Lonchura striata: one gene and its partners. The protein of the gene in region 1 interacts with the protein of each later gene in a pairwise test. Links are inferred from orthologs where the notes say so. Each region holds a gene or a part of one and is shown in the gene's direction. Other genes may lie near its edges.

Evidence for each region.
Region 2: the proteins of GABARAPL1 (region 1) and RETREG3 interact in binary tests that used the Homo sapiens proteins (3 or more experiments, as listed by UniProt). The link is inferred for Lonchura striata from reciprocal best matches to the Homo sapiens genes GABARAPL1 and RETREG3.
Region 3: the proteins of GABARAPL1 (region 1) and OPRK1 interact in binary tests that used the Homo sapiens proteins (3 or more experiments, as listed by UniProt). The link is inferred for Lonchura striata from reciprocal best matches to the Homo sapiens genes GABARAPL1 and OPRK1.
Region 4: the proteins of GABARAPL1 (region 1) and ATG4A interact in binary tests that used the Homo sapiens proteins (3 or more experiments, as listed by UniProt). The two-hybrid records come from large-scale screens. The link is inferred for Lonchura striata from reciprocal best matches to the Homo sapiens genes GABARAPL1 and ATG4A.

Annotation. Positions count from the first base shown.
Region 1 is NC_134607.1:2,234,487-2,242,495, forward strand, and holds the start of GABARAPL1 (gamma-aminobutyric acid receptor-associated protein-like 1), read left to right. Parts: upstream 1-4,993; 5' UTR 4,994-5,095; coding exon 5,096-5,185; intron 5,186-8,009. UniProt on the Homo sapiens protein: Ubiquitin-like modifier that increases cell-surface expression of kappa-type opioid receptor through facilitating anterograde intracellular trafficking of the receptor. Involved in formation of autophagosomal vacuoles.
Region 2 is NC_134627.1:6,273,368-6,281,170, forward strand, and holds the start of RETREG3 (reticulophagy regulator 3), read left to right. Parts: upstream 1-4,796; 5' UTR 4,797-4,810; coding exon 4,811-4,992; intron 4,993-5,543; coding exon 5,544-5,650; intron 5,651-6,794; coding exon 6,795-6,825; intron 6,826-7,803. Other genes in the region: TUBG1 (tubulin gamma-1 chain), read right to left, coding at 503-652, 858-944, 1,627-1,753, 2,344-2,423, 3,238-3,306, 3,492-3,659, 4,099-4,211, 4,487-4,535. UniProt on the Homo sapiens protein: Endoplasmic reticulum (ER)-anchored autophagy regulator which exists in an inactive state under basal conditions but is activated following cellular stress.
Region 3 is NC_134603.1:40,045,972-40,053,961, forward strand, and holds the start of OPRK1 (kappa-type opioid receptor), read left to right. Parts: upstream 1-4,987; 5' UTR 4,988-5,320; intron 5,321-5,802; 5' UTR 5,803-5,869; coding exon 5,870-6,129; intron 6,130-7,990. UniProt on the Homo sapiens protein: G-protein coupled opioid receptor that functions as a receptor for endogenous alpha-neoendorphins and dynorphins, but has low affinity for beta-endorphins.
Region 4 is NC_134616.1:11,351,150-11,358,019, forward strand, and holds the start of ATG4A (cysteine protease ATG4A), read left to right. Parts: upstream 1-3,858; 5' UTR 3,859-3,919; coding exon 3,920-3,929; intron 3,930-5,225; coding exon 5,226-5,336; intron 5,337-6,499; coding exon 6,500-6,571; intron 6,572-6,870. Other genes in the region: PSMD10 (26S proteasome non-ATPase regulatory subunit 10), read right to left, coding at 665-818, 961-1,038, 1,821-1,987, 2,095-2,241, 3,347-3,445, 3,543-3,656. UniProt on the Homo sapiens protein: Cysteine protease that plays a key role in autophagy by mediating both proteolytic activation and delipidation of ATG8 family proteins.

The DNA of each region.
Region 1 (8,009 bases):
CACTGAGTTGGCATCTCTTTGTCCCATCTGGGGTACCAGAAACTGCCATCAAAATCTGGAAAATAGACTCTTTAACCAATTTGTTGAGGTAGAAAGTCAACATAGTTGTATTTGGTTTTAGGGTACATGTGAATAACTCCACAGAACATGCCAGTTATCAAAACCTTTAACTATTCATACATCTGAGCAAAGAAATTAGTGTTCATTGGCTTACAAGCTACATAGTTCTCTTCATTAAATAGTATTCTATCACCTATTGTTATTTATTTATTGCTTCTAATGCCAATTAATCCACATATTTAGTCTTTTTATTATTTATTTCTTTTTCCCAGGTAGAGAGAATCTCAGTAATTTTCTTTGTTAGTTTCTCCTTCATCTCCAATTTCTCTAAGTGTCTTTGGTTACAAATTCTGCATTCTTTGTGGCCAGGTCTCAACGAAAAATTTCTCTCTCTGGTCGAAGAGCACTGAAGCACATCAGTCCCTAAATTGGTAATTTGTTTTTCTAACACATGGGCATCACCCATAGCTTGCTTGTCATCTGTTACTCAATTCATGGATTAAATATTCTTAAAGCAATTTCCCTCCCGACACTGCTGCACAGGCTCCTTTTAAAAGAAGTATTAACTTGTTTGGTAACAGTGCCACCCTTAGGTTCCCCTAAAACACGCAGTCTTTGAGAAAAACTGGTTTTCAGAAACATCCCAGTGGCCCCACTGTTGCTCCTTTGTTTTCACAGGAACAATGATACCCCTCCCCAACGAGCCACTCCCAATCACTGGCTGGAACAAATGGATCTCAAACTCTGCTTTGCAAGTCTGGGCTGTTACTGCTGCTTTTGATCATGCAGCAATTGTGATTGTGTTCCTTAATCTCCTCATTACATCATTTGTATGCCTTTAAGCAACTTTAGCTGAAGCTGGGCCATACAAGAAGTATGGTAAGAAAGAGCAGCCTTTTTTTGAAAAAAAAAAAAAAAAAAAGAAAAAAAACAACTAAGAAATTGTAGAAAATAGAGCAGCGAGACAGCAGCCCAGCATGGACAACACAGAGTGCTTTCCTAGAGGAAAAGAAAACATTCAGACAATTAAACATTGTTTACTGGGAGTGAGTAACCCTGTGCCCTCATCCAAGACCAATGTGCCCATACTGGCTCTGAAGGTGCTACAGATCCAGTGCCAAGAGAAACTGGTGACCAGTCACGAGGGACACAGCAGAGACACCAGGCAAGGACTGTGCCACGGGTGGCAGCGAGCAGATCAGAAGCACGAGTGCCTTCAGGTGTGCCATCTGTGGTTTAATCACTGTTCAGACCACAAAGCACAAATTTCCTGACAAAAGACACTTTGATATGCGGAGTCCACACTTAAGATTAAAAAAAAAAAAAAAAAAAGTCTGTAGAGGCAGAAATGACCCAATAATGAATAATGGTAATAATGAAAGAAACATGCAAGGGAGTCCAGAGTTATAAGCAGGACTGTATAGTACGGCACAGGCTGCAAAGCCTGCCCCCAGGTTCTGTGCAAATATTTGTCTCCTGCTCCTATGCATGCAGCATTGGCAATGCTTGGGAAATCCCTCGTGTAATGTACCACATGACCTGCAGATACTGCAGTACAGAACGTGCTCACAGTGTTCTGACACTCTAGGTTAAGAAAAAATATATTGTTTTGACAGTCCTTGAAGGAGCACTTTGTGCTGGCAGTCCAGGGTAGGAAAATTAGCCAACACCATTTCCAGTTCCTCCCTCTGGCAAACGAATCCAGAACGTGGGGTTTGTCACATGCCCATGGGCTGACATTTTAACAACCCTAAGTCAGATGTTTAGATGTTTGTCACTGCTTCTGCATGTATCATCTTCCTGCCTGTTTTGCCAGTGACGTTGTTGTTATTATTGAAGCTGAAGGAGAGAGCTGGGAATTCGGTGCCTGACAAAGTGGGGAAGCAGGAGGAGTCTTGGGGCTGCACATCCAGAGCTGCACCATCAGGGCAGGGAGAAACTTCAGTTAGGGCATTTGCTGAGGAGAAGTCATTGAGCAATCTGCTCACAGGGCCATGTCTTTGCATCAGAACAGGAAAAAAAACCTGGCACTTTTCTCTGATTTGTCATGAGAAATTAAAACCAGGTGTTACCTTAGCTGCCTTGGGAGAAGTCCTGGGGATAAAAACAGCAATTCACATGATAAGAGGAGTTTGAGATCGGTCTGTTTAAATTTGCCAGAATATGTTGGTGGCTTAGGTGAAACAGACTAGAAAACTTCCTCTCTTTTGTGCTTGAGGAACATCACTGCAAACCTTCAGTACACCTCAGCAACTGCTGTGCTGCAGGCAGTCAGGAGGCAAGGAGGCCAAACACAGGCTTGACATAAAAGTTTAATGCCATGAAACCAGAATTTTCCTTGGGTCTAAACCCTGGGGCTCCTTCAATCTGAGATATTTGCTATGGAACTGCAAAAAATAATTCCTTCCTTCTGACTCATCCCTCTGAGCTCCTCTGACCTGGCAACCATGCGAGAACATTTACGTGTCCTAGGACAGACAGAAACGTGTTGACGGTGCTTCCTGTACAAACCTGGTGCACATGAACTAGAGAAAGCTGGGACACTGTGGCTGGTGACATTCCCACTGTGGGCTGCTTGATCCTTAGGAGATTTGGGCATGCACCTGCTGGAACTGGCCATTAGCAAGAAGTCACTCCACCCCATACTAAATAAAAGTATTTGTATTAAAAAAAAAGTAACTGTAATAAAAGCTTAGAAAGTAAAGGACCTGCCAGAGTTTTTGCAGACACACTTCAGCCATCCAAAAGTAGGTGTCATGATTCAGGTGAGAAGAATCACACCCCAGCACACCTTTTCCTACCCCTGTTCATCCTCAGTAAAGACACGGGGCTGAATTGGGAAATCTGTGTCTTTTTACCTCTGCCTTTGGTGTGGCCATGGAGAATCACCTCATGCATCTGGCTGTTCCACTCATAGTCTGCTATGGCTAAAACACCTGCACAGATAAAAGATCAGCCTTGGCAAAATTGTGTTTCCTCTAGGTAAAGCATGCAAAGAAAAAATAATTTAATACAATCCAACTCATTGAATTGTAGCAATTTATTTTTGTCCTGATTTGAGCATGCTGAGCCATTCATTAATACCTGCTCTTCTGCTGATCAGTGAATAATTGTGAGTTGATCTACTCCTAGGGGAAAAAAACCCAGATATTTTATGTGCCAGCTGAGTAACTGGGCCGAAGTTGGCTGGGTGTTTTGGCTTGTTGGCAGACCTTTAGCTGCCTGCTGTTTGCAACACGCATCTGGGGTGACCCATCATATGGCAACGCTTTCTGCCAGAGAGGTGCTACAAAAAAGGCAACAACCCAAACCCCAGCAGCCACGGGGCCAGTCCAAGTGAAACAGAGAATTTTGGAATTCACTTAAGTTAACAAAAGGAATTAAGCATTTCTATTTTAGCTTGTAAAATTATGTGTTGAATTTTAACTTTTTACTTAAGAAACCAAAGTACAAAAGGGCATAAGAAATGCAAATTACTGAACCTTCTTGCATAAGCAATAAAAAAAAGGGATCAAAAAGAAAAAGAAACCAGATAAAGAGGCTCCTCTATCTCCAGACTTATCTCTCAGACTGATACTTGTACTCAGATAAGCACCAAAAGACTGAAAATGCATGCGCAGAGAAGAAGAGTACTAAAGTTCAACCATGAGGATGACTATGATCTTCAGCCTCAAGAGACCACCAGGGACCCCCGTGCGACCACCACAGCAAACTACGTGTGCCCAGAAGGGTGTAGACTTATTTAGCATTAGGGACAAGGGCAGGCGGGGCCAGGAGTTAAATATGCATAGAAAAGTTGTGTAACGTATTGCATATGGAACACCTTTGGGAATAAAAGTTTGGGTCAGATTAAAACTCAGTGTGCAAGTCTTGGAGAAATATCTCACTTGTGCCAGGCGCTGACCGTACATACCCCCTTCATAACTACCCCAAGTTGTGGAGCCTATTTATTTATTCCTTCACAAGGATGAGCCATTATTTTTGTGTATGCAGCACAATTTTTTACATTTCGCACCACACCCATCGGGGCAAGTGGGGCCACCCAGGCCTCTCCTGGGGAGCCCCGAGCCTTGTGCCCCGCTGAGGCTGGTGCTGTTTTGACAGCCCTGAGTCACACTGCAGAGGGCATGTATGTATTAAAAAATAAAAATTGTGTTTAAATGCTTGTGTTATGTGTAGTAGATCTAATTTGCGCCATTTCTGGTATGATAAATGTGATATTGAATATTTGTTGGAGTATACATGTTTGTATTAGGAGTCCCCCCCAACCTCACAGGTGACACCTGGTGTATATTAGAGCCCGATTTGATGGGCCATGTCTGGAGAGATACGGGATGCCCAGAGATGGATATGATGGAAATCCTTGGGCAGATACATGTGAATGCAGGGTTCCCGTAAACTTCATCAAGGGATCCAACAACTCCAGACACTGAATTGTTCTTCCTCATCACCAAAAAAGAAAATTTTTTTAACCTATGGACTCTGAATAGAAGAAAAGACTGATTGCAAAAATCTTGACCTCAGGCGGAATTTTCCCTATAAAAACCACTCATGCCAGGATGGAGGCGTGTGGGCACAGAGGAAAACCTCTGCTGAGGCTGACTCCTTGTTGCACACCCAGGGCCAGCCCCGGGCTCGGCTCTGTTCTTTCCGTGTGGCTGGATAGATAGAATTGGATTGCAAAATAAATATTTTATTTTTTCATTTTAATCTGGCTGGACAAATTTTCGTGTATAACAGTTGTTTGTTTATGTGCTGCCGGGCAACACATCAGTGCACGAACACTGACGGAAGGTGCCCCCCCTTCCTTGCCGCCCACCTCTCCCTGCCCCGGCCAGCGCGGTGCCTCCCTGTGACGTCAGGGGGGCACCTCCGCGTGACGTCACCCCTCCCCGTGACGTAAGGGCGGGGCGGGGCCCGGGCGTGACGTCAGAGCGGCGCTGGCGGCGGGGCGGGAGCGGCCGCGGCTTTGTGCGCAGCGCCGGCCGGGCGGAGGCAGCCGCAGCAGCCGCCAGCGGAGGGACAGCCCGGCGCCATGAAGTTCCAGTACAAGGAAGACCACCCGTTCGAGTACAGGAAAAAAGAAGGGGAGAAGATCCGGAAGAAATACCCCGACAGAGTCCCCGTGAGTGCGCGCTGCCGGGCGGCCGCCTTTGCGCTCCGTGCTGGCCGCCGGCTGCTGCTCGCCTTGTTTTGGAAGGAAATGAGTTTAGTACGGATGGCCGTGATCTCGCTGCTCTGATTCGCATCCCCGGCTGCTTTTCTCCCTAGAGCGAAGCTGGGGCTATTCGCGATGCGCGGAGGGCTGCGGTGCGGGTGGGGGTGGAATACACCTTTTCCCCGGGATGCGCGGTGACTCCGCGGTGGGAACGCTGCTGATCTTTTTCTGGCATGCGTGGGGGTGAGTGGGCAAGGAGCTCACCCGTGTTTCTGTGAAAATGGAGATCAGTGAGGCGGTTAACCGGGTACTCTTCATGCTAAACACGGTCTGCATCCGGGTCATCTCGTACGTCCCTGTTATTTTTATTTTACTTCACTATGGCTTGTCTTTTCTATATAGCCTTGCTCTTTTCCTTTGCATGAGCAGAAAAAAATGATACTTCTGGGTCCTTTTACCCTCCTGTTTAATCATCCTGTGGAGAAAATGTCACTTGGAATGCAAGGTCATCTAGCTAAATTTTGCTTCCTCATTCTTAGGCCCCTTTGGAGTGCCTACGGGAAACTTCTGGCTTCATAATTCCGAATAATTATTGGGATGAAAGAAAAAAAAAAAAAAAAGACAAATATAATTAAGTGTAGAGTGTTTTTTCTTTTTTAATAAACATTTTGCAAGTATTCTTTTTTTCCTTCCCCACTGGAGAGGTCTGCCCTAGATAGACTGCACAACTGTACTGCATTCAAAAAAACTGGGTCCTTCCTGAAAAACTAATGACAAAGGGGGAACAGTTACACCCCATGTTTTCCCTGCAGGCTAACAACATTTTTTTATCTTGGGAGTGACCCTCAAATGGACTTGGAAACAAGTTTTTGGAAGTCAGTATTTGGGTGCCTTTGTTCTCTCTTTTTTGGCATAGGTTGAGCATGCTTGAGGTGTGTGGGGTTGGGTATTTAGGATGAGGGCTGTGTAGGTTGGGTGAGAGACAAGGTGTAAATTGAGGATTAACGTGGCAGATTGCACAGCAGGCCATGACAAATGTGTCGGGAAGAGCCCTGTGGGGAGCCCAGGACAAGGCCCAGTCTGGCAGGAGGTAAAGAAGGTCAAGACAGGGGCTCATCAGCAGAACTTTGTAAAGAAAACCAGGACCAGAATAACAAGGTGTGCTGGAGTTAATGATAATTGGAAATTATGCACAGCAAGGCCCAGATGTGAATTATTAGGGATGGCCTCTTGAATGCAGCACTCTGTTCTTCACATCACTTCTGTGTCTGCCCTTCCTGACAGCAGGATCCTTGAAGATGTCATCCTTTTGGCTGCCTACGCTGCAGTGCCGTGATACATCTCAGCATTTTGATGAGATTTCACTGCCCTGCGTTATCACAGTCGCCACTCAACAGCCAGGCAAATGTAGCTATCTGTATTCTACCCTTACGGTTTTCCTTTTAGTTGTTTTTTGGTTTTTGGTTTTGTTTTTTTTTTTATGTATGGGAAGGGTTTAGTGGCTCGGAAGAGATAAGCTGCATTATACAGCAAAACTGACTACAGTTGCCAGTCAGATGAGCAGAGCATCTCCATTCCTTCCGTGCATCTTTGCAGGAGGGAGATGTCCCTTAAGCTCTCCTAAATCAGTGGTAATCTGATTTAAATCTCTCCTAAATCTTTCCTAGGGGCTTAGAACCCCCAACAGTCACCTCAAAGGCATGACTTCTTTTCCTTTATTATCTAATGACCAATCTACAATCCCCCTCCTTCCCCCCCACCTCCAGTTAGGGAAGTCACAGCAAGCAGTTTGGCTTGTCAGTAGCTTTTTAAATTGGAGGCAAGAACTAAAGGTTTTTCCCCACTGCAGTTTATTGTGTTAGCTACTGCTTTGTTTGGCTGTGCTGGTAAAAAATGTGAGAAGTGTTGTGTGTTGCTGTTCAGTGAGGTTGTGGTAGTGTCCTTCTCTCACAGCATTTGCCAGCTGCATCTTGTACAGAAATCCATGTCCTACCTCAGACTCCCTGAAGGAGCTTGAATGCCTTGTGCTAACTTAGGTACTTGAAAATCTTGAAGTAGCTGAGGCAACCATGTTTCTATTTTAAAATCAAACCTGGAAACTTCAGCGGGTTTGGCTGTGCTGGCCACATCCAAATGGAGCACAGGGAAAAGATGTCCTAGTTGGTACCTCTCTGGTGTGAGATATTTTGCAGACACTCACTTGGCTTTAGAAAGATTCAGGTTAGCACAGCACCATGTCCAGGCTAAAATACGCCAAGCTCATGATAACATTTTGTTCTGGTGTGGTGTTTCACTAGTGGGTCAACATCATTTTGCTTCCAAAGAAGTCTTAGTCCACAGCAGTCCAACTTTTTCCCTTACACAACAGCTGTATTTGGGTTGCCAAAGAGCTATGGGAGCATGGAGCCCTTAGAAATCAGTCCCACAGTGTTTCCTGTGGAGTATTTACAGGGTCTAAGGAAATTAAAAAGTTTAGGAAGTTCAGAAAAATCCAGCTTTTGCTTTCATTTAGGTGGTCAGAATGGCTTCTGCAGAACAGCAAGCCATATAGATTGAAACATGATATATCTTTTACCAGTTCAAAAATACACATGAGGGAAAAAAAAGCCTGCAGGTTTTTTCTGCACAAACACAGTAGTTCCAAAGGTTTCAATGGAAAAGGAGATCAGGTCACTTTGGAATAATTCCTGCTTCGGAGGTAAATATTTTGCCTAGCTCTGCTAACAAAAAATATCTTTTAGCAAAAGACCTCTTGATTTGTTTGATCCTAAAGCTGCAGAGCTTTGTATTT
Region 2 (7,803 bases), on another chromosome or scaffold:
GAAACAGAAATGCCCCCCCAGGGGCTGGGGGGCACTGGTTAGGGACCAGCAAAATGCAAGAAGCAGCACTTGAAGTGTAGAGGGATGGCAAATTCACTCTCAGACAGACTGAGCTTCAAGAATGGGCTGACACCTGTAGTCCACCACCAGTGACCATGAGCATTAGTGTCTGCTAAAGCTGATGGCTCATGGGGGTGGCAGCACTGGCAAGGCCACTCTCCTGGCCTTGCTCTCATCACTGCTAAGGGTAGCTTTTGCCAGTCCTGACCCTGATGATCTCGACAGCCACCCTGATGCATGCAGCAGGTAGCCTGGCACAAGCACAACTGCCTGCTCATGTCTGATTCACTGCACATGCAGCAGTCACGTGTGAGCACGTGGGCCTGGCGTTTGGGACGTGCAGTGACAGCTCACAGCGAGACGGGGCTGACAGATGCTGCAAGGTGAGTGTGACAGCCTCTCTGCCCTTGGGGGTGGGAAGGAGAGCCCGGGGCTGCCTTACCGACTGGTCCGTGGTGAGTGGTGTGTAGCCTGTCATCAGGAAGTGCAGCCGGGGCGTGGGGATCAGCGAGGCGATCAGCCCGATCAGGTCATTGTTCATGTACCCGGGATACCTGAGCGTGGTGGTGCTGGCAGACATGATGGTGGACACCTAGGGGAGAGGACAGGGTCAGCAGAGGGTCACAGAGCCTCATGCTGACATGCCAAGGGAAGCTGGGGCATCTGGAAGGGCACAGGACCTTCACTCAGCTCCAGGCTGCCCAGCCCTGAGCCCAGCCCGTGAAGCTGGTTCAGACTAAACTGAACAGAGCAGGGAAACCCCATGCTGGTTTCTCCTGAGGGAAAGTCCTTCTCACCAGCTGGTTGATCTGTGAGAATGACGGGTTCTGAATGTGCAGCCGGTCTGTTGCGATCCGATTCAAGGCTGTGTTGTCCAGAACCACCTGCAAGACAAACCTGGCTCTGTGAAGGGCCCCTGAGGCAGCAAGGAAGGGCAGTCCTGGCTGTGTGTCCCAGGTGGTCCAGCACAGGCCCTGGATGGAGCCCTCTGCACAAGTGGCAGACACTTGAAACCACCAGCTGACTCATGTGTGGCACGTAACTGACACCCTCAATGGAACCTCTTCCCTCCCTCCTGGCTGTGCTCCCCATGCTCTCCCAAAGAGCTCTACCCCTGGGCCAGCACTGCCAGTTGCAGCAGCTCCAGTGCAACTGCTCCTGCACTGCCACGTGCAGGGACCAGCTGCAGGGACCAGCTGTAGGGACGAGCAGTGTCTCGGTTAGACGTGAGCAAAGGCTGAAGGCGCTGCCTGGCTGGGGATGTCGTGGGTGCTGCACAAGACACAGGTGCTGCATTCAGGCAGGGGCTGCAGCACAGAGGAAGCACAGCCAGTCCTCACTGCCTTGGGAACATCTCTTGGACCCAAGGCAGATATGCCAGGCAGCTCTGCAGGGGTTAGCACCAGTGAGGGTCCCTGGAGCCACATCTGCTTGGCCCATCTGTCTGTCTGTTCATTGCTGCTCCCGGGCTCGCAGGCACACGGTGCTGGCCCAGGACGGGCTGCAGTTCTGAGCTGTGGGGACAAGGCTGTCTCCTCAGGGCTGGCTGCACCACAGGCCTCTTACCACACAGTCAGCATTCTGGGTCAGCCTCTTCAGAGTCAGCAGAGAGTTGTACGGCTGGACTACAACATCGCTCATCTCATCCTGGTTTGGGAACACTGAGTAGGTCTCCACCAGTTTCTTGGGATACCTAGTGAGAAGTGCAGCATCTTGAGGGTTAACACCATCAAGCTATGCTCTCCCCTCCCACAGGCTGCCTTAGCAGTCTCCAGGGCTCAGGACAGGGTGAGTCACCAAAGCTGCAGCCAGAGTGGCTCCCAGGGAGGGAGAGAATGTGTCCCAGCAATGCCTACCCCAGCAGCACAGCAGCCGGCTGCCAGAGGAGCTACAGGGAGGCTGAGCCATCCACAGGCTGATTAAGCAGCTGCTCACAAGTATTTTCAAGAGGATGCAAGCTGAAACAGGCCAGGATGGCAGCTCACAGCCTTCAGTCAGAGCCTCCCACCCTCCCCTGCACCGTCAGGGTGTCCGCAGGCAGCTGCCTGATAAGGAGGCTGAGGGAAGGCAGAGCTTGGACAGAACAAGTCCAGTTTCAAAGCCTCTGAAGTCCCCAGGCGTATCAGGAGCCAGCCTTCTGCAGGCAGCGTGCCAGGGATTGCACAAGGCAGTGTTTTGGTGGGGGTGGTGGCTCTGAGTCAGCGCTCTCCAGCTCCTGCTGCAGGCAGGCTGCCCAGGCTGGGCCAGGCACGGGCTGTGGGCAGGGGACAGGGCTGGGCTCACCTGTCATTCAGCCTCTCCAGGAGGTAGGAGCCCAGCCCAGAGCCTGTTCCACCAGCGATGGAGTGGCAGAGCACAAAGCCCTGCAAGGAAGCAGAAGGTGCTGAAGGTGAAGCTCAGCCCCAGAGCAGGCAGACAATGTGTCACCCCTGCTACCTCCAGCAGAGACCTGCCAACAGGGCCAGAGCTCCGTGCAGCAGCTGGGAGCATGGATGCAGCAGACTGACCCCAGCTCCTCCAGACCCCAGCAGCAGCCACAGCTCCTCAGGCCACTCCTGCCCACACAGTGGGACCTGCATCTCTGCACACCCCGCAAAGTGCAACAACTGCTCGGGAGCGCTCAGGATTCCCACCCAGAACAGAACTGGAATAGCTCCAATGTCACCTCTAGGGTCCAGTCCATCCCAGGAAATGGAACTGCATGTCCTCAGCCCTTTCCTGGGTCCTTACACCCCTCCCTCCTCCTAGTCTGACCGAGGCCAAGCTCCCACTGCCTGACTCCAGGGCAGCTCCCACATGCTCAGCTCCCACATCAGGCACTTCAATGTCCTCCATTGTTTCAGTGATGTTCTCCCTTCCCCTGCTGCCATGTCACAGCCTGACATGAACACCTGGCAGCCCTGTCTGCACACAGGGTGTGCATGTTCACATGGACAGCATAAAGAAAATGCCCCACAAGCAAACAGTGGAACAACTCCTGGGGCAGGGTGGCAGATGGAGTGGGAATGGACAGACCCCCTGTTCCTAGATCCCCTCTCTACACGTTCTGTGCTCAGTCCCAGAATCTCACTGAGCTAATCTGTGCCCACTAGAGTGCTGAGCTCAACCTTACAAAGAGCAACCTAGCTGGGAAAACACCAGGCAGGGCCACCAGATCCAAATCCCTTGTTTACTTACTTCCAAACTGTCACTCCCATCAGCCTCTCTGTCTATTATGTCAAAAATATCTTCATGGATCTTTTCTCCCTGCAAGAGAGATCAGGACTGGTTTTGCTCCTTTCCCACAGAACATGGAGAAGAGCTGCTCAAGCTCAGTGTGAGTCGAGTCAGACTGGCAGTGTGGTGCTGTGCCCAGGGTGCCACACAGCACATGGACACAGGACAAAGCCCCAGGGCTGAAGAGTCTCACCCAGCAGCTCTAGGGCTGGTACCTGCGAGAAGCCACTGGCCCAGTTGTTGCCAGCTCCCCCTCCATGCTCAGACAGGTAGATGTTTTCTGGGTTGTAAAGGTTGGCATAAGGGGAGTTGAGGATGGAGTGGATGACACGGGGCTCCAGGTCCAGCAGCACAGCCCGGGGGATGTAGTGCTCATCATCCGCCTACAACGGGAGCAAGAGGATCTCGATGCTGCTGCAGCTCGGTGCCACCTCCCCTGCCAGAGCGTGAGCCACCCCTGGCTGCAGGTGAGCCCCACATGGCCGGGCCTGGCCAGAGGGAGCAGGGAGAGAGAGGCTGCTCCTGTGCTCAGTGCAGCGTCTCTGTGTGTCTCTGTGCCCAGAGCACCGCCAGCCTGGAGTGGGAGGAACTCCGGTGCTTACATAAGCCACTATCTATGGCAGCCACAGCCTCGTGCTTGTGCTCCACCCGCACAGGCTCCGCTCACACACCGGGAGCGCAGGCGGGAGCCCGGAGCGGGAACCGGGGCCGAGCCGCCGCTCCCGCCCGCACGGTGGCGGCAGGGACGCAGCCAGCCCGGCTGCACTGCCGGGGCACAGGGAGCAGGGCAGCACTCGGTGCCCGCTCCGCGGCCGCCCGTACCTGGTAAAAGAAAACGTCCTTGCGGTCGGTGCCCTCGGTGGCGAACTCTTCCACGATGCCCTCGGGGCTGATGCCGTGCTCGGCGCAGAGCTGCTTCCAGAACTCGAACCCGACTGCGGGGAGGAGCGCTTAGACAGACCGAGACCGAGACCGAGACCGAGACCGAGACCGGGACCGGGACCGAGACCGAGACCGAGACCGAGACCGGGACCGGGACCGGGACCGGAGCGCCCCGGTCCGCAGGCCCCGCCCCATCCCGCCTGGCCCCACCCCACCCGTCCCAAGCCCCGCCCCGTCCCGCCAGGCCCCGCTAACTGCCCCCCCCACAGCATCCCGACCCCGCCCGGCGCGCGCTCCCCCGGGCCCGCCGCGGCCGTGCCGCGCTCACTCTGGTTGCCGCACTGGCCCAGCTGCAGGGTGATGATCTCCCGCGGCATCGCGGCCGAGGCTCCGCTCCGCTCCGCGCCCCGCCCGACTCCGGTACCGCCGCGTCTCCCGCCGGCGCCAACGGCAGTGCGCGCGCGCACCGCGCACTTCCGGGGCAGCGCCGCGCACCTCTGTCCGCGGCGCGTCCCGCCAGGAGGTGCAGGCCGCGCATGCGCCAAGATGGCGGCGCGCTGAGCGGAGTCGCCGCGTGTTGCTGGGGGCCGCCATGGTTGCGGCGGCCGTGCGCGCGCGGCGGGCGGGCGGATGTTGACGCCGTGAGGGAGCGATGGCGGCGGCGGCGGGGCCCGGGCCCGGGGAGCGGCAGCGGCGGGTGCAGGCGCTGAGCGCGGCACTGCGCGGCCGCCTCGGGCCCTACGAGGCGCTGCTGGGTGCCGTACAGGCCGCGCTGGTGTGGGAGCGGCCGGGCCGCAGCGCGCTGTGCTGGGTGGCGGTGCACGGCCTGTTCTGGTGAGCGGCGGGCTGGCACCGGGACCGGCACCGGGATGGGGATCGGGATAGGGACAGGGACCGGGACCGGGATAGGGACAGGGACAGGGACTGGGATAGGGACCAGCACCGGGACTGGGACTGGGATAGGGACCGGCACCGGGATGGAGACCGGGATCGGGACCGGGCCGGCAGGGCTGAGCCGGCGGGGCTCGGGGAGCTGTCCCCGGGAGGAGCGGACCGTGAGGGGCCCGGGAGCGCTGGGTCCACTGCAGCCCCGGCCTCTCCGTGTACCCGAGAGCGTTTCAGACCAGCCGGGAGAGCTCAGCCTGCTGTGGCGCTGGAGGGAGGGCGGCTTGCCTGGGACAGGAGCTGTGCAGCAGGGCTGGCCCGGGAGAACCGACACGGGCAAACGAGTCACCCGGCAGCTGCCCCCGGGGCACGCTGCGTGCTGACTGAGTAGCAGGTGCTGAGTTTTCCTCCTGAGTGAGTGGTTTGAGGTTGGTTTGTGTTATCCCTTTTTGTCTCATAAAGATCTGGCCAGTACCAACTCATTGGTTTCTTCCCTGTAGGTTCTTTGCTCTGACTTCCCTTCGTTTGCTGTTCCTGATTGCTGTAACACTCATAGTAGTAGTGTGTCTAGACCAGTGGAAGCACAAAATCTGGCCAGAAATTGGTGGTAAGTTGCATTTTGAGCTCATAGCAGCAAATCAAGCCCAGTTTCCAGCCCCACAACTACAGGCTCTATACTGCCTGCAGTTACATGGTTAAAACCTCAGCTTTTTGCTTTAAGAGTCTAGAAGGCAGCAAGAGTACTGCAGGCATGCTCTTTCTGGAGATGGAGTATTCTAACCTGTGTAAACACAAGTTCTTTTTGTGCTTGTGACACTGGTATTTGTCTTGTAATCCTGAACCACAGGATGTACGTGATCTAGTGCAGGCATGAGACCATGATTCACTTTCTGAGCATTCAGTACCAGGGTGAGAAATGGAAGCATATGTGGAACTCATCTGGATTCCCCCTCAGAATCCATAATCAGTTTAGGATGAAGACAAAGTCTCAGTCTTGCGGTTGATCAGAGATTTCTTTGGGAGAAGAGGCATCTGAGCAGCTGTAATGAAGTTAGTTTCCAGCTTGCAGTAACCAAAGCAGTTGTGTCCCTCCTTTGTGACATTAATACACTGATGAACACCCCCATTCCAAGCAGCTCGGGGTCCCTTGGCTTTGCATGGACAGGTTAGTTTGGAGCAGTGTGAGGGTCTGCATGTTCCCAGGGCTGGTTCCCTGACTAACCAGCAAGTTCAGCTTCCAGCTTTCTGCTTCAATACGTGTTCTCTGTAGTTCCTGGGAAGACATTAAAGCTTTCTCAGTTTCAAAGCTTGGCTCAGGCTCCTTCTTAGGAGACAGCGTCTGTCCAGCTCCCTCATCCCTCTGATTTGATCTCTCAGGGTGGCTGGTACATCCCTTTCAAGTCCCAGCCTGGGTGGGAAAGTATCAAAGGATTTAAATCCCTGGTGCCTACAGTCTGCAGGCTGTGCCTCCTCTGCAGCTGGGGCGTGCAGGGAGTGGGGGAGAGGGAAGTGGGCAGCCTCTAGTGTCCAACAAACACCAAGGAGCAACAGGGAGACTCTTGCAGTCCTGTGCTGTCACACGTACACGCTCAAGATTTGTTATGGAGTGATGCCTCTCCATCCTGTAATTACAGTTAATGTCTTTTCCAGGTGTTCCCCAGCTCATTAAAGCTTTACTTAAATCCCAAGAGCTAAACATTCCCATGGCAAATTCCTTGAAACTAATGTAGTGTCTGTTCTTAATATTTTAGTGGCAAGACCTGATGAATTAGACAATGAGAGGTAGGAAACTAATTGACTCCTCTGCTGTGATACTTTGCTGTGATACTGTGTTGTTACCTGCACGTGCTTGGGATATTGGCCCCTTTGGGCCAGGAGGAGGGGGAGAAGGGAGGAGGGAGCTGGGAGCTGCTCGACCAGAGGGCAGATGGAAACCCAGGTGCAGTCAGGTGGTTGTGAGATGTTTTTGACTTGCCCAAGCCATTTTATTGTACTTTGCCTTCATACCAGCCTCCAGATATGCTTGCTTAACTCCCTGCTGCCTGAAGTTAGAGGTGCTGCCTTAGGAGCAATTCCTCTTGTTTGGGTCTCCAGTAGCAGGAAAACAGCATTTCTGTGGGAATTAATGAAGTCTTTTGAGACTTGATAGGGAATATTTAACAGGCTGGTTCCAGCAGTTGTTCCTGCATAGTTATGATCTGACTGCAGCATTAATTATGGGTTGAGAAATGCTGAGGTGTTGCCTCACTGCTCACACCTGCCTCTCTGGGCACACCTTCCTGCCGCCACTGCCAGGCTGTGCTGGATGTCAGTTCCTGATTAAATCACCTGAGCTGGTGCCAAAGGACAATTGTCTTTATTCATTCTTTTTTAAGAGGCCCAAGCACAAAAGGAATTGCTCTTTCTAAACTTCAGGTACTCATGACTAGCAGTTAGGCAACACTAACAGAACTGACCAATTCAAGGCCTCCAAAGTAACTGAGTACATGAAGTGAGGTGCAAGGCTGCTTCTAGACCTCATGCTGAACACTTGGAGGCTGCAGTTGACCAGATAAACACAGAAAAAGTAAATGGAATCACTTGATTTGCCTCTGCACTGTGCACTCCCTGCAGTAGCGTAGAAACTGGTCCAGACCATTGACTGAAATTCCTGCTCATCAGCTGCTGTGGGAGCACTGGGATGCTGCTAGAGGGGCTGTAGATGAACTGCTTTGGGCAGGGCACTGCTTGGAGGGCAAGTGACCCTCATCTCTAGAGCTC
Region 3 (7,990 bases), on another chromosome or scaffold:
TACTAGTCAGCTGGTGCAGTCACAATTCTTACTCAGAGAGCTAAATTCACCCATCTTCCATCACAATACTTGTCTTTAAGCCATTAATTATGTACAAATGAAGGTCCCAAAAACAGGAGGTAGAGGAGGTGGGACGGGCAAGGTTTAGGGGCTGTATGAAAAATTCACTTTTCTCTTCTTTCAGATACATCATTTTTCACTCTTTTAGCAGGCACTAGAATAAGTCAACAAACCATTCTAAGTATGAAACAAAGAAGATTAAGATTTAGGTATCATTGGCATATAATCAACAGAGTTCTTACCCTTCCTGGAAATGAATCATCCTCCTTTTCTTGTTAAAAAGGTAAAGATTCTGCAGGATCTTGAGCTCTTTGGGGAAAAGTCGGTATTTTTTCCACACAATCCACTGGGATCATCCTAAAAAGAAACGACCAGGCTAATCTTAAAGTGGATTTTATTTATTCCCATAAATTTTTGAATCTCATTATCATCTCCTGTCTCAGAACCAAAGTTGGAGGGAAGTTCAGGTTTTGTTAGCTGATCCCCTTTCCCTCTCTGGAACTGTGTAACCACTTACCAGCAGAGCTGTGCTTCCACATGTTGGGAAGTCAACTTGCTGTGAAAGATGGTTGAATGTTAATGCCCACAGAAGTAGTTGTAAATAATAGAGAGATGTAATTGTTTTGTTCTGTCATTGCTTGGTTTGTGTGATTTTTTTTTTTTTTTTTTTTTTTTTTTTTTTTTGTTAAAAAATCTGTCTCAGGTGAGGTGGCCTGTAGATCAGATATATGTATCTTTATATAGATATCTGAAGAATACCACAATTTTCTCTTTAAAGAGAAGTCTTAAAAGTTGTTCTGTAGCTCAAATTTATGGGCTTTAATCATCCTTCTGTTTCCTCTGGAGTCAGAGCTTTAGCCTGTTACATAAAAGTGAGAAGTTATAAAACTTCCAGCTGAGGATCTTGATGAAATGAAATGCAGGGAAGATGGCAAAGTGGTGACCTGTTTTGACAATTCTGCCTCTGCTCCAGGGACCTGGCATGAGTGCCATGGCCAGCTGTGGACAGAAGGGCTGCTGGGGGGAGGCAGGGTGACAGCAGAACAAGGCAGATGATCTCCTGCTGGGGTTTTCTGAACTCCTTAAACCCAGCCACTGAGCTCTGCTCTGTCAATTAGCTCTTCTATGTGTAACTCCCCTTGTTTTTAAAGTCCTAGAGTCAGAAACCTTTCAACACCTGCTCCAGTCCCTCCCTGCAGCTGGCGGTTTGAGCATGGCTGGTCTCTCCATGACCACCCAGGGACTTTTCTGTGGAAGGAGGACTTGCCTTGGGACAGAAGCTATCCCAGTGCTCAGCACTTTATTGGGCTGGTGTCTGAAGGTCACAGTGGAGGTCTGTACCAGTAATTTATTTCTATATGTAACATGAACTTCTGTTATTGACAAGTAAAAGCAAAGCACAAATTTCATGATGAATGTTTAGTCTGCTGTGAGCAAAAAATGTGTACAAAAGCTGTTTGAGTAGCATTGCATATACTTTCTCATCTCTCTTTTGCCTGTTCCCCTCTCTTGCAGGTCTTTTGAAGACCATAGAACACACCATCTCCCAGAAGCTGTGTTCACACAGAGAGCTAACATTTGTGGATGCAGAGAGACAAGAGAACTTTGTTTCCTTGGCAACTGGAGCCACCAGAAAGTGTTTCCAGCATCTCCTACCTTTACACAGGCTCACTAGCATTGTAACCTTTGGTTAATCGTGTAGTAAAAACAAATATTAGCTGAAGAAGCATCTTGATAGTGTGCTCCACTTAACTCATGTGTTCTCTTCTCCAGCCTCTAAAATAGCAGATGATCTCTGGAAATGATCTGTTCCAAAGTGTCCAGCATTACAGTTCATGGCTGAACCTTGAGGTCTGCCCTACCTGTGCATTTGACTGAAACCCATAAAGTGTCATGGTTTTCTAGAAAACAATGTCAGGAACTTAACAGCTTTCACTCAAAGCCTGAGTGTGCTGAGGTGATGGAGCTGGGTCTGTGCTGCAGCACACTGAGCAGATGGCACAGTGCTGCATAGAGTCATGCCTGTGATTCAAGGTGGTTCATTCTTACCTCTGAGTCAGGGCTGAATTAATGTCCCACCACATCTTTAAGGTTTTAAAACACTGTGCTGATGGGGGCAGCCTTTTAGCTTTTGGTAAGAAAAAAGACAGTGCTGAAGCTCTTCCTACTTGCTATTGTTAAATATCACATATTTCCCTCCCCCCAGGTTTCTTATTCATTCAAATAATTTCACTAGGATGGTAAAAGAATACAAAATTCCCAGTTTATGTTTTCCCTTCCACTTACATTAAGCAATATTGTGTAGCTGATTTTTGATTGAGGTAGAGAGCCTGGAGAAAGTAAAAATTTGTGTAAATGCACATGTTGTAGTTCCTAGGTATCAGGCAACTGAATGTGATATTTTTTTCACTTTGAGAGCTGGAATTTATAACTTAAATAATTTTCTATAATTATGGATTTTGATATATAGCTTTATATTCTTAATTTAAAAAGTCCAAGTGGTTTCTGTTGTGTTTCCCAAAGTCCAGTAAGGTGAACACTATCGGGTCTAAAGTATTACAGCAAAAAGTTGGGGAGCATGCAAGCCACGTGTTTGTGAGAACATTACTGGAGGAAAATGGCAGCTGAGCAGTGAGACAATGGGTTTTTTTATGCTGTCTTTCTTCTCTAAATATTTCCTTACTTTCCTTTGAAAGGAGGGCCTTTTGTCTGATGTAAGCCCTTAGAGGGAACAGGGGTTTCTGGCATTGGTGTGTGGGCAGTCTGGGTTAGGTCACCCTGCCTTTCTCTGCCCAGGACTCCGGGAGACTCTGCCCTTTTCCACAGGACTGCTGGGAAGGGTGCAGAGGCACTGTGCAGGCAGGTGTTGAAGGAGAGGAGGATGCACACTTGTTCCCCCTCTGCCTTTAATTTTCCTTTCTATATCGTGGCGGTTGTTCCTGGTACCTGCAGCGACACCAGTTGTTGCTGATAATCCTGATATTCAGGTTTTCATTTGCAAAGCCAACGCAAGAAAGGAAAATATTATTTTTTAACAGTGCATATGATTTTGATTTGACTTTCAGAAGACAACCCAACAACTTAGCTAAGTACTTTCTTTCTACTGTTTCACAAGGTCCTACAGCAACCAGGAGCCAAAACTGGGTCTCCAACATGGAACACACATAAACAAAAAGCATACAGCAAGTTAAACATTGCCTCTGTCTCAACCTGTGATTTGTAGTGTTGTGGTCAAACTCCACCTCCTTCCAGTCCCATGTAGTTACATGGCAAACTCCATGAAGGGCCAGTGACTATAACTGTAAGCACATCTTTTTTTGGTGCTAACTCTAAGATCCATGGAGAGTTTCAGCACAGAATTTACTTAGAGAATGAGCAGATTACTGTCCAATCATTGGTGCTTCAAAAAGCTGAGAGTTTGCTATTTATCTTACTTTTTTGTATTATCTGTGCTGTAGATTTACTCAGAGCAATAATAAGTTTCCTTCCCCATATAGAAGTTTTGGATCCACCTGTAGCAATTGCAGAGTGACAAAATGATTGCTCATAAGAGCTAAATTATCAATGTGTGCTGAAACATTGCTATTTTAAATCTGTCCTGTATATTTTAATTGCAGAATGTGGAAAATTCTGGGGAAGATGCTAATAAGAAGTTGAAAATCGACAGTAAAATTATTTATGAGATGACACAGCAACAGTAGCTTCCTTCAGTACATGGGCAGGAGACCATGGATTGCAGAGGATAAAGCCAGAATTGGAGTACATTTTATGTTAGCATCTACTTCATCTTCAAAAAAATGATTACTTCTTAGATTTGTGTCCCTGTTGCAGGGACATTTCTGTCACGCATTAGTTATTTTGCATTTTTATTCATTGCCATTAAAAGTGAAACTTTTAGACAGCTCTATACACATGATCATGAGAAGTTACTGAAGTTCTAGAGAAAACAGTGACCAGAGTCAAAGCCATTATCACATTTGAACAAGCCTTTTCCTCTAAGAGAGGGGGGGTTCTGTACCTTTTAAGCCTCCTACATGATTTCTCACTCAGCTGACATAATTTAGTCTCTTGATTATAGGTTTAGAAAGAAAATTGGTTTAGAATAGAAAACTCAATCTATCACAGACACTCAACAAGAAGGAGTGTGAAGTAAAGTTTCAAGACTGAAAAGCTTGAAGGAAACCCACAGCTTCTGTCTTTCTCCAGAGACTGGTTTTTCTGCTGCACACTTTGAGATGCAGCCAGTCTGGCTGTTCCCAGCCTCTTCCAAAGAACTAGAAATAACTCAGGGTCTTGCTTCTTCTCTTCCAATTTGCCATTTATAGAGAGTTCTGGTGGGGATTTCAAGGTCTGTGTGTAAGTTAAAGAACACACATATTGGTGCCTTGACAGCTCCTGCTTGAGAGAGTATATTAGGGATAAGCTCTGAGGGATGTGATTTCTGTACACACCGCTTCCCCATTTCTGGCTGCAGCTGGGAGAATGAAGTGCTACAGGGAATTCTGGGCTTCTCACATGGTCTGGGACAGATTGAAAAAATCTGTACAGTAATTAGGGTGCCCCTCTTTTCTTTGGTAGCCAGCTTCTGACTTCGGAGTTGCAGGTGCAAAGGAACAGGGGCACAGCTACCCAGTGAGAAATATTTTGGACACACAGTTGTGGAGTCAAGGTATGAAAGAGCTGATGGACCAGGCAAGATATCTAAACTTAAAATTCCTCTTTTATTCAGTGTCTACTAGTCTGAAATTCTGTGGGATTCAATAAAGCAAAGCAGATTATTTCTTGAGGCCTGGGAGTGTAGGAGAATTGAGGAAAGAAAACTTGGAGAAGTGTATTAAAATAAGCATTCGTTCATAACAGAACTTATTTCTTGCTTTTTAAAAAATTTATCTGCATCTCAGTGTTTAGAAAGAAGTCATGTGAGCGTCTGAGCTGCGGGGACAGAGACAGTGGAGAACGTGTGCATCAGTGCAGAGTGCTGCCGGAGCCCTGGCAGAGCGAGAGGGAGGCAGAGGGAGCCTGAGAGAGAAAAGGCGAAGTGGTGGGAGCTGGAACAGCAGCAGCTGCCGCTGCACGGTGCGGCTCCAGCCTGGAGCCGGCTCTGCTGCCAGCACGCCTCTCTGAGGGCGCAGCTGCCTCACACTCAAAGTCCTAGGTGGTCAGTGGCACTCCCAGGAGCCAAGCGCAGCGGCTTTATTCTTTTCCTTTCCCGCAAAAGAGCACCTGTTTGAGGACTCCGCTTCTTTTCCTGGACTGAAAGGTATTTTTTGTCATTAATGTGTCTTTTCTATGAAAGCAGGTATGGGATCAGGGAAAAATAACTCAGGGCAGGATGATAAAGCAGATGCACAGAGGTTGTGGTTTCTCTGTCTCCTTCCCCTTTATAGCAGAGCTTAGGCAATGAGGAGCCCTTGTTAGGATAGAGTTTGACTTAAAATATGGAAGATGGGAAAGACAGGGTTAAAGTGTGGGAGTGGATCTGAGCTGTTCCCATCTGGTTTGTTTCTCTATGCAACCTTTGAAAGTAGAGGAAAACTTTCCTTGTGCACTTGGAGAAGCAGCATTACATAGCAAGATGTAAAACTTGAAATCATTTAATATGAATGTGATTTATTTAAAACTCTGCTTGGCAAATTACAGTCCCCATCATAGCAGAGCTCCCCTTAACACATAAAAGTTTCAGAGGTCTTAATGTTCTGTGTCTGTAAAAATACTTTCTTTCTCTCTCTTCCCTCTTTCCAGCATACTTGCCTCCTGCTGTGTGCACCCCTCCTGGTCTCCCTCCCTCCCTCCTGGGGACTGTACCCCTATGGATGCCCCCATACAGATTTTCCGTGAGGAGCCAGACTCCACCTGCTCCCCAGGGCCCTGCCGGCCGCCCAGCACCAGCAGCAGCTGGCTCCCGGGCTGGGCAGACTATGACAGCAATGCCACTGGGGTCTTTGGGGATGGCCAGCACAACCACACCAGCATCTCCCCCGCCATTCCCATCATCATCACTGCTGTCTACTCGGTGGTCTTCGTTGTCGGCTTGGTGGGAAACTCCCTGGTCATGTTTGTCATCATAAGGTAAGAGGTTTTGGGTACCGGTTGGAAGAGGTGCAAAAGACTGTCCCTAAGTTTGGTGGGGTGGGGGAGGGGGTGGATTATGCTTCCATACCCCTACCGTGAGGAGCTGGAAAAAAGCAACTGAAATGACCCAAAGTTTGTCAGTCACAGTGGTTTTCCTGCAGCTGTGTTAGAGACAGAAGGGACAAGCTGGTTAAATGTGATAAATCCTGCAGCCTGAGAGAAAGCGCTTGTGCCTGGAGCTGTGTTCATTGGCTGCCCTCTAGGGATGAGACGCTGCTGGCATCCGAGGGAAAACAGCTCGAGTGAAAGAAGGAAACTTCTACAAGGCAGCTTTTATTTCTATTGTAAGGAGACCCCGAGGGACAGAGATGTGTCATGTGGACACTGATACATCTCTGCCTGGGCACCTAATGTTTTCTTTAACAAGAGAGGAGGGAAAGCCAGGAAATTATAAAGAACAGCTTAATGTAAAGCAAGGGATGCTTTTTCTCTGTTTAGCAGTGTTTAACTCCAGTTGTTGGTGTTGAATTGAAAAAAAGTTAAGAAAGTGCTGAAATATCTTTTCCACTGTTTTTCAGGAAAGAGGAGAAAGCTCTGTGTCTGTGTTAGTGAAGGTTTCAAACTAAACCACTTGGTGAAATGCACTGATACTTATGCTTGCACTTACACTTGTGTATTGGTGAATATTTTAGTTTGCATTGTGCTTCCTCTCTCTCTTTGTTATTTTCATCTGCAATCTGTAAGCATGCTTGGACAGTGCTGTTTAGCAGGGTAATAATGAACAATCCAGGGCACTGAAATCATGCAACTTTTTGGACTATTTCTCCACAGCCTATTTGAATTCTGATAAAGTTTCTGGGAAAACAAAAATCCCAGAACTATGGAGTATTCATTGCTCCAATGAAATCAGCTTGCACGTGGAAAAGAATGGAGGTATTGGAAGGAATTCTCTTTTGTAAGGGATGCATCATAAGGGTCAAGCAATTGCAGAATGATGAAGTAACTGTCAGACTTGTTACGAGGGGAAATTATGAGAACTACTGAAGCTGTTGATGAGGTATTTCAAAAATTTGAGTTATAATCAGGTGAATACTCTTGAATAATGAAAGTAAAATTACTATTCAGTGCAATAAAAAAGAGATGACTGTAGTCAGTTTAGAAAAAGTGGTTGGCTCCAGTTTTGTAATGTTGTGATTTTTATACCCCTACATGCCCTTTTGTCCTTCATTCAGGGTAGAGATTTAATTTCTTTTTGTATTTCTCTTTCAAAAAAAGAGACTACATACTTGACAGTCACACAGCTGCAAAGGCAGAGATTTTCTAAGCCATCAATCAGTAACAAAGACAGCTGATTAACTGGCCTGGGCAGTGGAAATAAATCCAAACTTAGCCCTAGAAGTTAGCATGTATGGATTATACTGGTGCATATATATTTGCTTTTTTCTCTCCTTCTGCTACCCTCCTAAGACTATTTTTGTAAGCCTTTAGATAGCTATTGCTCACTTTCCTTCTAGTTCCTACATTAGCCTTTCCTTGAATTTTCTCTTGGCCCATCTCTTGATTACATGGTAAAAAAATAAATAAATATGACAAATCACCCATTGGTATTTTATTTTTTTTCCTTTTATTTCTCTCCTAGGTTTTCTGTGTGGCAAATGCTTTAAACACTGATAGAATCATTAGCTGAAGTGCAGACATGCACAAGCCAACAGTTTTAAATTTTCTTATGGTCTTGAAATATTTCAAATGTTTGTGCAAGAGATTTATTTTCTTCATTCTTTCCAAACCTTTCATGTCCCTTAACTTTTTCTTCACATATACTCTCTGCATGATTGTGTCTCAGGACACAATGCATGAA
Region 4 (6,870 bases), on another chromosome or scaffold:
AGTGAACCTTGAAACTGGGCCTGCATTCTGCAAGCAGTCCAGTGCACTTCATCAAATACATGTATTTAAAGACTCAGGGAAAAACAGGATAACAACCAGTAATAGAACAGGTTTAAACACTCAGATTTCACTTAATACACCACAAGTAGCAAACTGGATACAATTATCTAAGTAACTAAGCAAACTGCATTCTACGAAGAGAAACACAGTGTAGCTTAGAATCATCTGGAGAAAGACAATCGGTAGCCACAAAACACAGACAAAACCTCACACAAAAATCACAATGGCTAAGAGAAAAAACAAAGACTCTATAAGAAAATAAAAATTGGCTTTAAATGGTTAAAACATTTTTGGTCCTGTTTCTTGAAAGAAATAATTCTAAACTGAGATCTGAAGTAGAAGGAATACCACACTTATACACATCACACTGTAAACTGAAAGAAAACTGCAAGATATTGAAAAATACTTTAAAATCAGTGAACTATTTAATTAACAGGAAGTACAAAGACTTGTTTTGGCAATGCACTTGAAGGACAGCTTCAATAACAACATTTCATTACCATGCTGACACCATACATGATATCCTAGATGAGCTATCAAAATATGAAGTTTGCAATCCTAAGTAGAAGTGCAACAGGAGAGAGACTCAAGTGGGAAGCCCCCTCTAGCCTTCCACCATTCTTTTAAGGATGGCTCCCAGGCCACCCTTTGCCACTTTCAGAGGGGTCAGCTCTTCTTTATTCTCAATGTGAATACTTGCACCATGAGACACCAGCAGCTTTGCCTCCTCCACTCTCTCTTCATCGCAGGCTAAATGACTGCAGGGAGAACAAGAAACCCACAGGCACCGTTAAACTGTCCAAGCTTTTAAAGAGCAATAATTACACCATGTCAAAATGACAGTGTGAATGTTGGGGGGAGATACATCTGAGAACAACAAATCCACAAGCAGCCAACTACCTAGACAGATTCCAAAGCTTGCTGTCCAGTCCCTCTGTCATCATTAAGCAACTCAAGAACATTCCTCCTGCTGCTCTCCTTGCAATGTTAAGACAGGTCTTTGGGTTAGGATTTGGCTATGCAGTCAGCAAAGCTAAAGAGAACATAATCCATGGTGAGAATGGAAAATGGCAATCTCTATTAAATTGAAGGTGAGAAATAAATTGTCTGATGCTACGAAATAATGAGTTACTGCAAATGCAGCAAATGCTTTTTTCCATTTGGCACAGTGTCCTAGGAAGAACTGTGTGCATTCCAGGGCCATACTGGGGTTTATGTACAGCTAAAACTTACTGCTTGATCTTATTCACAGCAAAATCTGGATTCCACTGTGGTTGTGACACCAACTTCAAAATATCTGTAACCCTTACAGATTCAAATTGATCTCTAAGGTAACAATAAACACTGGGCTGATTGTACTTCAATTGCAACTTATTTTCCTTAGAGAGGTGAAGAAAAGCTTCTGAAATGAGTTCTTGCTTGGCAGGACAGATTAGACCAGCCTGCAAGAGCAGTTTCCTCTGGCTCTGATGTCATTAGCTCACTTTCTACCCTGTAGCAGCAACAAATGTATTCCAGATTAATAAAAAATGTGTTCTACATTCTTTAAGTGGATGCAGTAACACAAAGTATGCATGTACTGACCACTATGGCAAAATACTAAGTATGACTTTCTCAAATACTCCTCAATTGCATAGGGATGCTAAGCAAGAGTGTATTTTGCAGCAACAAAAAAAATATAAAAAGACATTGAAGTAATGGAGTTGCATTTCACAGAGATTATGCTATATTGAGCAAAATAAAAATAAAAAACTACTTACAGAGGAGTATTCCCTTCAGAGTCCCGTATATCCAGAGTGGCATTGTGCTGCACAAGGATCTGGACCATTTTTAGGTTTCCTTTGGCTGCCGCTCTGTGTAACGGGGTGGATTCAAAATGATCTGTTGCATCTGGATTTGCTCCATTCTCCAAAAGCATGACTGCAATCTGAGTATGTTGAAAGAGAAAGGAGCAGGGGAGGAGGTTGTGGGCTTAACAGACCTAAATCCTTCTTCCAAGAACACCACCAGCTCCAGTAGCTTAGGTAAACATACCTCCTGCTTATTTTTGGAGGCTGCATAATGCAGGGGGGTGCAGCCATTCTGATTGACAGCATTTACATGAGCACCCTTAGCAATGAGGGCTTTCACAATTTCATCACGGCCTGCTGAAGCAGCAATGTGCAGGGGAGTCCAACCAGCCTACAGAGGCAAGAAGAAATCCATTAAATTATTCAAACCATGAGTTTCATGCAGGAAAACATGATAATGCATAACCCAGACAAACCTGAACTACACACTCTTACTCTTACAAGTGTAAAGCTAAAGTATTACTGATTTTCACTAGACACAAGGCTCATGTCTTCTTACATGCCTGCACGCAGTACCTGGAAAAGCTGTCAGTTAAACGACAGAAATCACCTCTGCTATGCAGTTCTGCATGGTGTTTTGCAGAACTTTGTCTCTGCAGAATTTACACTAGTGCCTTTTTAAGGACAAACAGCAGTAGTAGAAAAGGGTGTTAAAAAGTTTCTGCAACTTTTTCTATAACTTATTCTCTACACTCATGAGACATTTCCTTCTCTATGGATGACATTTGAGATGCTTTGTACTGGATACAAATATTTCAACTCTTCCTCTAGAACAGGAGCAGGCTGTGAAATCACTGAACCTGCACTGGCTTTATTAATACTTTCCCTAGTTTGAGAAACCTTCAGGGTGCCTCATGATTTGGCAAAACACATCTGAGAGATCACAGAGAGATAAGGTAATGTGAAAACGCCCCTGGTTTTTACACCTTCCTTCATAAGCACAGCTCTCCTATAATTCCGGGACAACGAGCAGGTCTCAAATCCCCTCTTCATGCCTTTTTGCAAAAGCGGAATACTTCACTCTGCCTTCCCAGAGCAGCCTGGATCTGCACAAGTGCCAGACGCGGCGCTGGGCCCACGGGAGAAGGGGCAGGAGGGCGAGAAGGGAGCGGCGTGAGCGGCCCCGGGAGCGGTGTGAGCGGCCCCGGGAGCGGCCCCGGGAGCGGCCCCGGGAGCGGCCCCGGGAGCGGCCCCGGGAGCGGCCCCGGGAGCGGCCCCGGGAGCGGCCCCGGGAGCGGCCCCGGGAGCGGCGTGAGCGGCCCCGGGAGCGGCCCCGGGAGCGGCCCCGGGAGCGGCGTGAGCGGCCCCGGGAGCGGCCCCGGGAGCGGCCCCCGCCGCTCTCGGGGCCCCTCCGCGCTGGAACCAGACTGCAGCGGGCCGGCAGCACCTGGGCACGGCGGCAGCCTCGGCCGCAGCGGGGAACCCGCGGCACTCACATCGTCCTTGTCGTTCACAGGCACGCCGAGCCCGAGCAGGAGGTCCGCGACGTCCGTGTGTCCCGCCGAGCAGGCCCAGTGCAGCGCCGTGCGGTGATCCTGCGGGAGGGAAGCGGTGAGCGGGGCAAGGACGGGCAGCGGCCCGCAGGAGCCGGCAGGAGCCGGCAGGAGCCGCCCGGGGCCGCCGCCGGCTGACCTGGTCGGAGCGCGTGGCCTGGGCCCTGTCGCGGAGCAGCAGCGCCCGCAGCTCCTCCAGGCGCCCCGCGAACGCCAGGTTACACACGGCCACGTCCGACACCGCGCCCTCCATGCTGCCACCCGCCCGCGGGGCGCGACCCCCACCGCCAGCCGCCAATCAGAAGAGCGCCGGCGCCCCGTCCAGCCAATCGCGCCTGCCCGCCTGCTCCGCTCGCCGCTCGGGCCGCGGGGGCTGCTGGGGTTTGTAGTGCTGCGGAATGGGGGCGGTGCGCTCCCGGCCGGCGGCGGGACTGCAGCTCCCAGGGCGCCCCGCGGCGCGGCCGTGTTGTGCCTCCGTGTCGGGGCGAAGGGGAGGAGGATGGTGACAGCGGGAGGATGGAGGCCGGTGAGGGGCGCGGGCACGGCGGGCGGGGCGGCGTGAGGGGCCAGGCCGGGGCTCCGGGCATGCAGCGGGGCCGCCGGCGGCGGGAGACGCCCGCGGGCTGAGGGACGGGGGCCGGCGCGGCGGGCGGCGCGGTCCGCCCTGAGGGGTCGCCCGGCGCTCGGGGTCCCGCGGCCTCTCCCGGGCCGGGCTGGGGGCTCGGCCGGGGCCGGGCGTGAGGGGCTCGGCCGGAGCCGGGGCTGCCTGGCCCGCAGCTCGGGGGGAGCGCCGGGAGGGGAAAGGAGACCCCGGCGAGGAAAGGAGCCCTGGCCGTACCTGCACGAGCGGTCGGAGGGGGCTGCGAAGGCGGCAGGTGCCTCCGGTTGGATTTCGAGGGTCGAGAGTGTCTTAAGTCTTTGGAGTAAAAAACAGACAGTTTGCTCTCGGAGTGCAGTGAGCGACGGCATTTCTGTGGGAGGGTGCAGAGCACGGTGCGAGAAGTTGTTTTGCTGAGCTGCCCGCCCTAAGGAGCCTGTCCTGGTGTTTAAGCACTGCCTGCGGGGACGCGGGACGTCGGGGCTCGGCAGTGGCCTCATGCTCCAGCCAGAGGGTGGTGCAGCTCCCTTTTGATTGTTGGAATGTATATTTTTAAAAAATTGAATATTACTTAATATATATGATTTTACATTAATTTTTTATACTTGAAGGGTTGTTGCGCTCTTCCAAAAAGCACAATTTTAATGATCTAGAAAATTGTTAGACTGTGTTCTTTTGGTAGTATTAATTATAATTTATTTTTCACTAAACAGATGTGGTGTTGAATAATAACATTAATACATCTGTTTTTTTTCTGAAGTGTTTCAAATCTCCAGTTAGGAAAGTAAAGCCCAGCCTTGCTAACACTTCTCACATGCTTTCCATTAAGCATGAGGTCATAATCACTTTGATTTGTATTTTTTCTACGTTTCAGATCAAGCTGTGGTGCCTGATTTTTTTTTTTCCTTTTATCATTATCTTGAATCAAATCTCATCCTCACTGCAGTCATCCTGAACTTCTGTCACTGGTTTCAGTGAGACTGCTTCTAAAGGTGTTATTCCTGGTGTTCTCTCACTGAGGAACTAAATAAAAACCAAGGCATTGGCTATTTCAGTGTCAGAACAGCTTTTAAGGGAGACAATTAAAAGCAGCTGGCAGCACCGCTCAGAAGCCCCAAAGACTGCAAAGACTTACTACAAACTAGCTCAGTTTGAGAGCTCCAAGTTGTGCATAAAAGAACAAGGGGATAAAATGAAGTTTGAATTTTGTGTATTCCTGTTCAGTTTTATCTAGGTATGAAAACCAGATCACTATTTTGTCAGACTACTTAGAAGAATTTCCAGAAACCGACGAGCCGGTGTGGATTTTAGGAAGGCAACACCACCTAAACACAGGTATCTTTAGAATTAAATTATCTGTAACATCTGTAGACTATTTGTAGATTCACATGCAGCAACAGCTCCTGATTTCCTTATGTTCCCTGAATGTCTCATGAGGGCAGTTTGTTCTTCATCAGTGAGACACCAGGTGTAAGCAGGGGAATTCCTCCTGTACAGAAACCAGAGCCAAGGCCAGTGTGCTTCCACTGTAATTCCTGCAATATGATCACATTCATAGCAGAGTCTGTCAGACGTGAGCCTTGTCACTTCCCAACATCAGGGCCCCAGAAATGAATATATAACTTTTGGGAAATGTTCAGCATTACTGATGTCATTTTCCTATGAGGGATGCTGTCCACAGCCTGTTATTTGCAACTAGAATTATATTTCAAGTAACAATAATAAGTTAGTCTATGACACATACTGCATTTTAGCGAAAATAAATACATTACCTGAGAGTTAGAGCAGAGGAATGTGTTTATATAAAAATAAGACTTCAGAAATGAGTTTTGCTCCCTGGGGAGAAGACAGGGCCATCCTCCTGTGTTACATGTCAAAGGCAGTGGCCACCAGTGCAGGCACGGTGTTCAGGACAGCTGGGGATGCTGCATGGATCCTTGATCAGCTGGAGAATCCTTTGGAAAAGCCAGCCAGTCTGAGCCACAGCTAAGGGGAAATGCAGCAGATAGGGTTCTTAAGCATTCTTCAGAGCCTTTGGAGAATCTGTAAATGCATGTGTTTAAACAAACAAGAAAAACAAGAGGCTTCAATTTGACATTATTACCATTTTCTTAAAATTACTTTCTGTTGGGTTAGGAGGTAATGTATAATTCCATGTTGATTTGCACGTAGAACTTCTTAACCTGCTTTACCAGTTCTTTCCTGAGGACATAGTTCTCCAGAGTTGCTTTATTCAGGCTGGGCATAGTCATTCCAAACACCTTATAAAATTTCATTGGCTAATAATTATTTCATCTGTAATAAGTTAACTTTAATTAGCAGTCTGCAAAAGCTCTCTGTGTTTAAACTGCTAAAAAATGTTTTAAGTATTAAGGGTCTTTTATGTAAAAGCTATAGGAGCCTTCCTTGTACTCTGCGTATTGACTGTACAGGGATAATTTGAATTTTTCAGTTTTAATTCTGTTTTAATAATTTATTTCCTCTTAAAATTATTCCAGACAAATCTAAGTTATTGCTGGATATAAGTGCTCGTCTCTGGTTCACGTATAGAAGAAAGTTTTCACCTATTGGTGAGTATGCAGCATTCCAGCTGCCTGGTTACGGATTAGCAGGATTAGTGATGATGCTGGGGACTGAAAAGTTATTTTTACAGTACTAGAACGTATTGCTCATAATCTTAACTGTGTATGCAAACAGAAGATTAAAGCTATTAAAAGCAGTATTTGCTTGTACCTGTATATAATCAGGTCTTCATGTTTGTGGGGCAAGCAGTGAAGTGACAGCAGCCCTGTGGGGGGAAAGGGGCTGGCTCAGTGCCGTGAAGCTGGGGACAGCTTAGTATCATATCCATGGTCTGGGATTAAGCAGG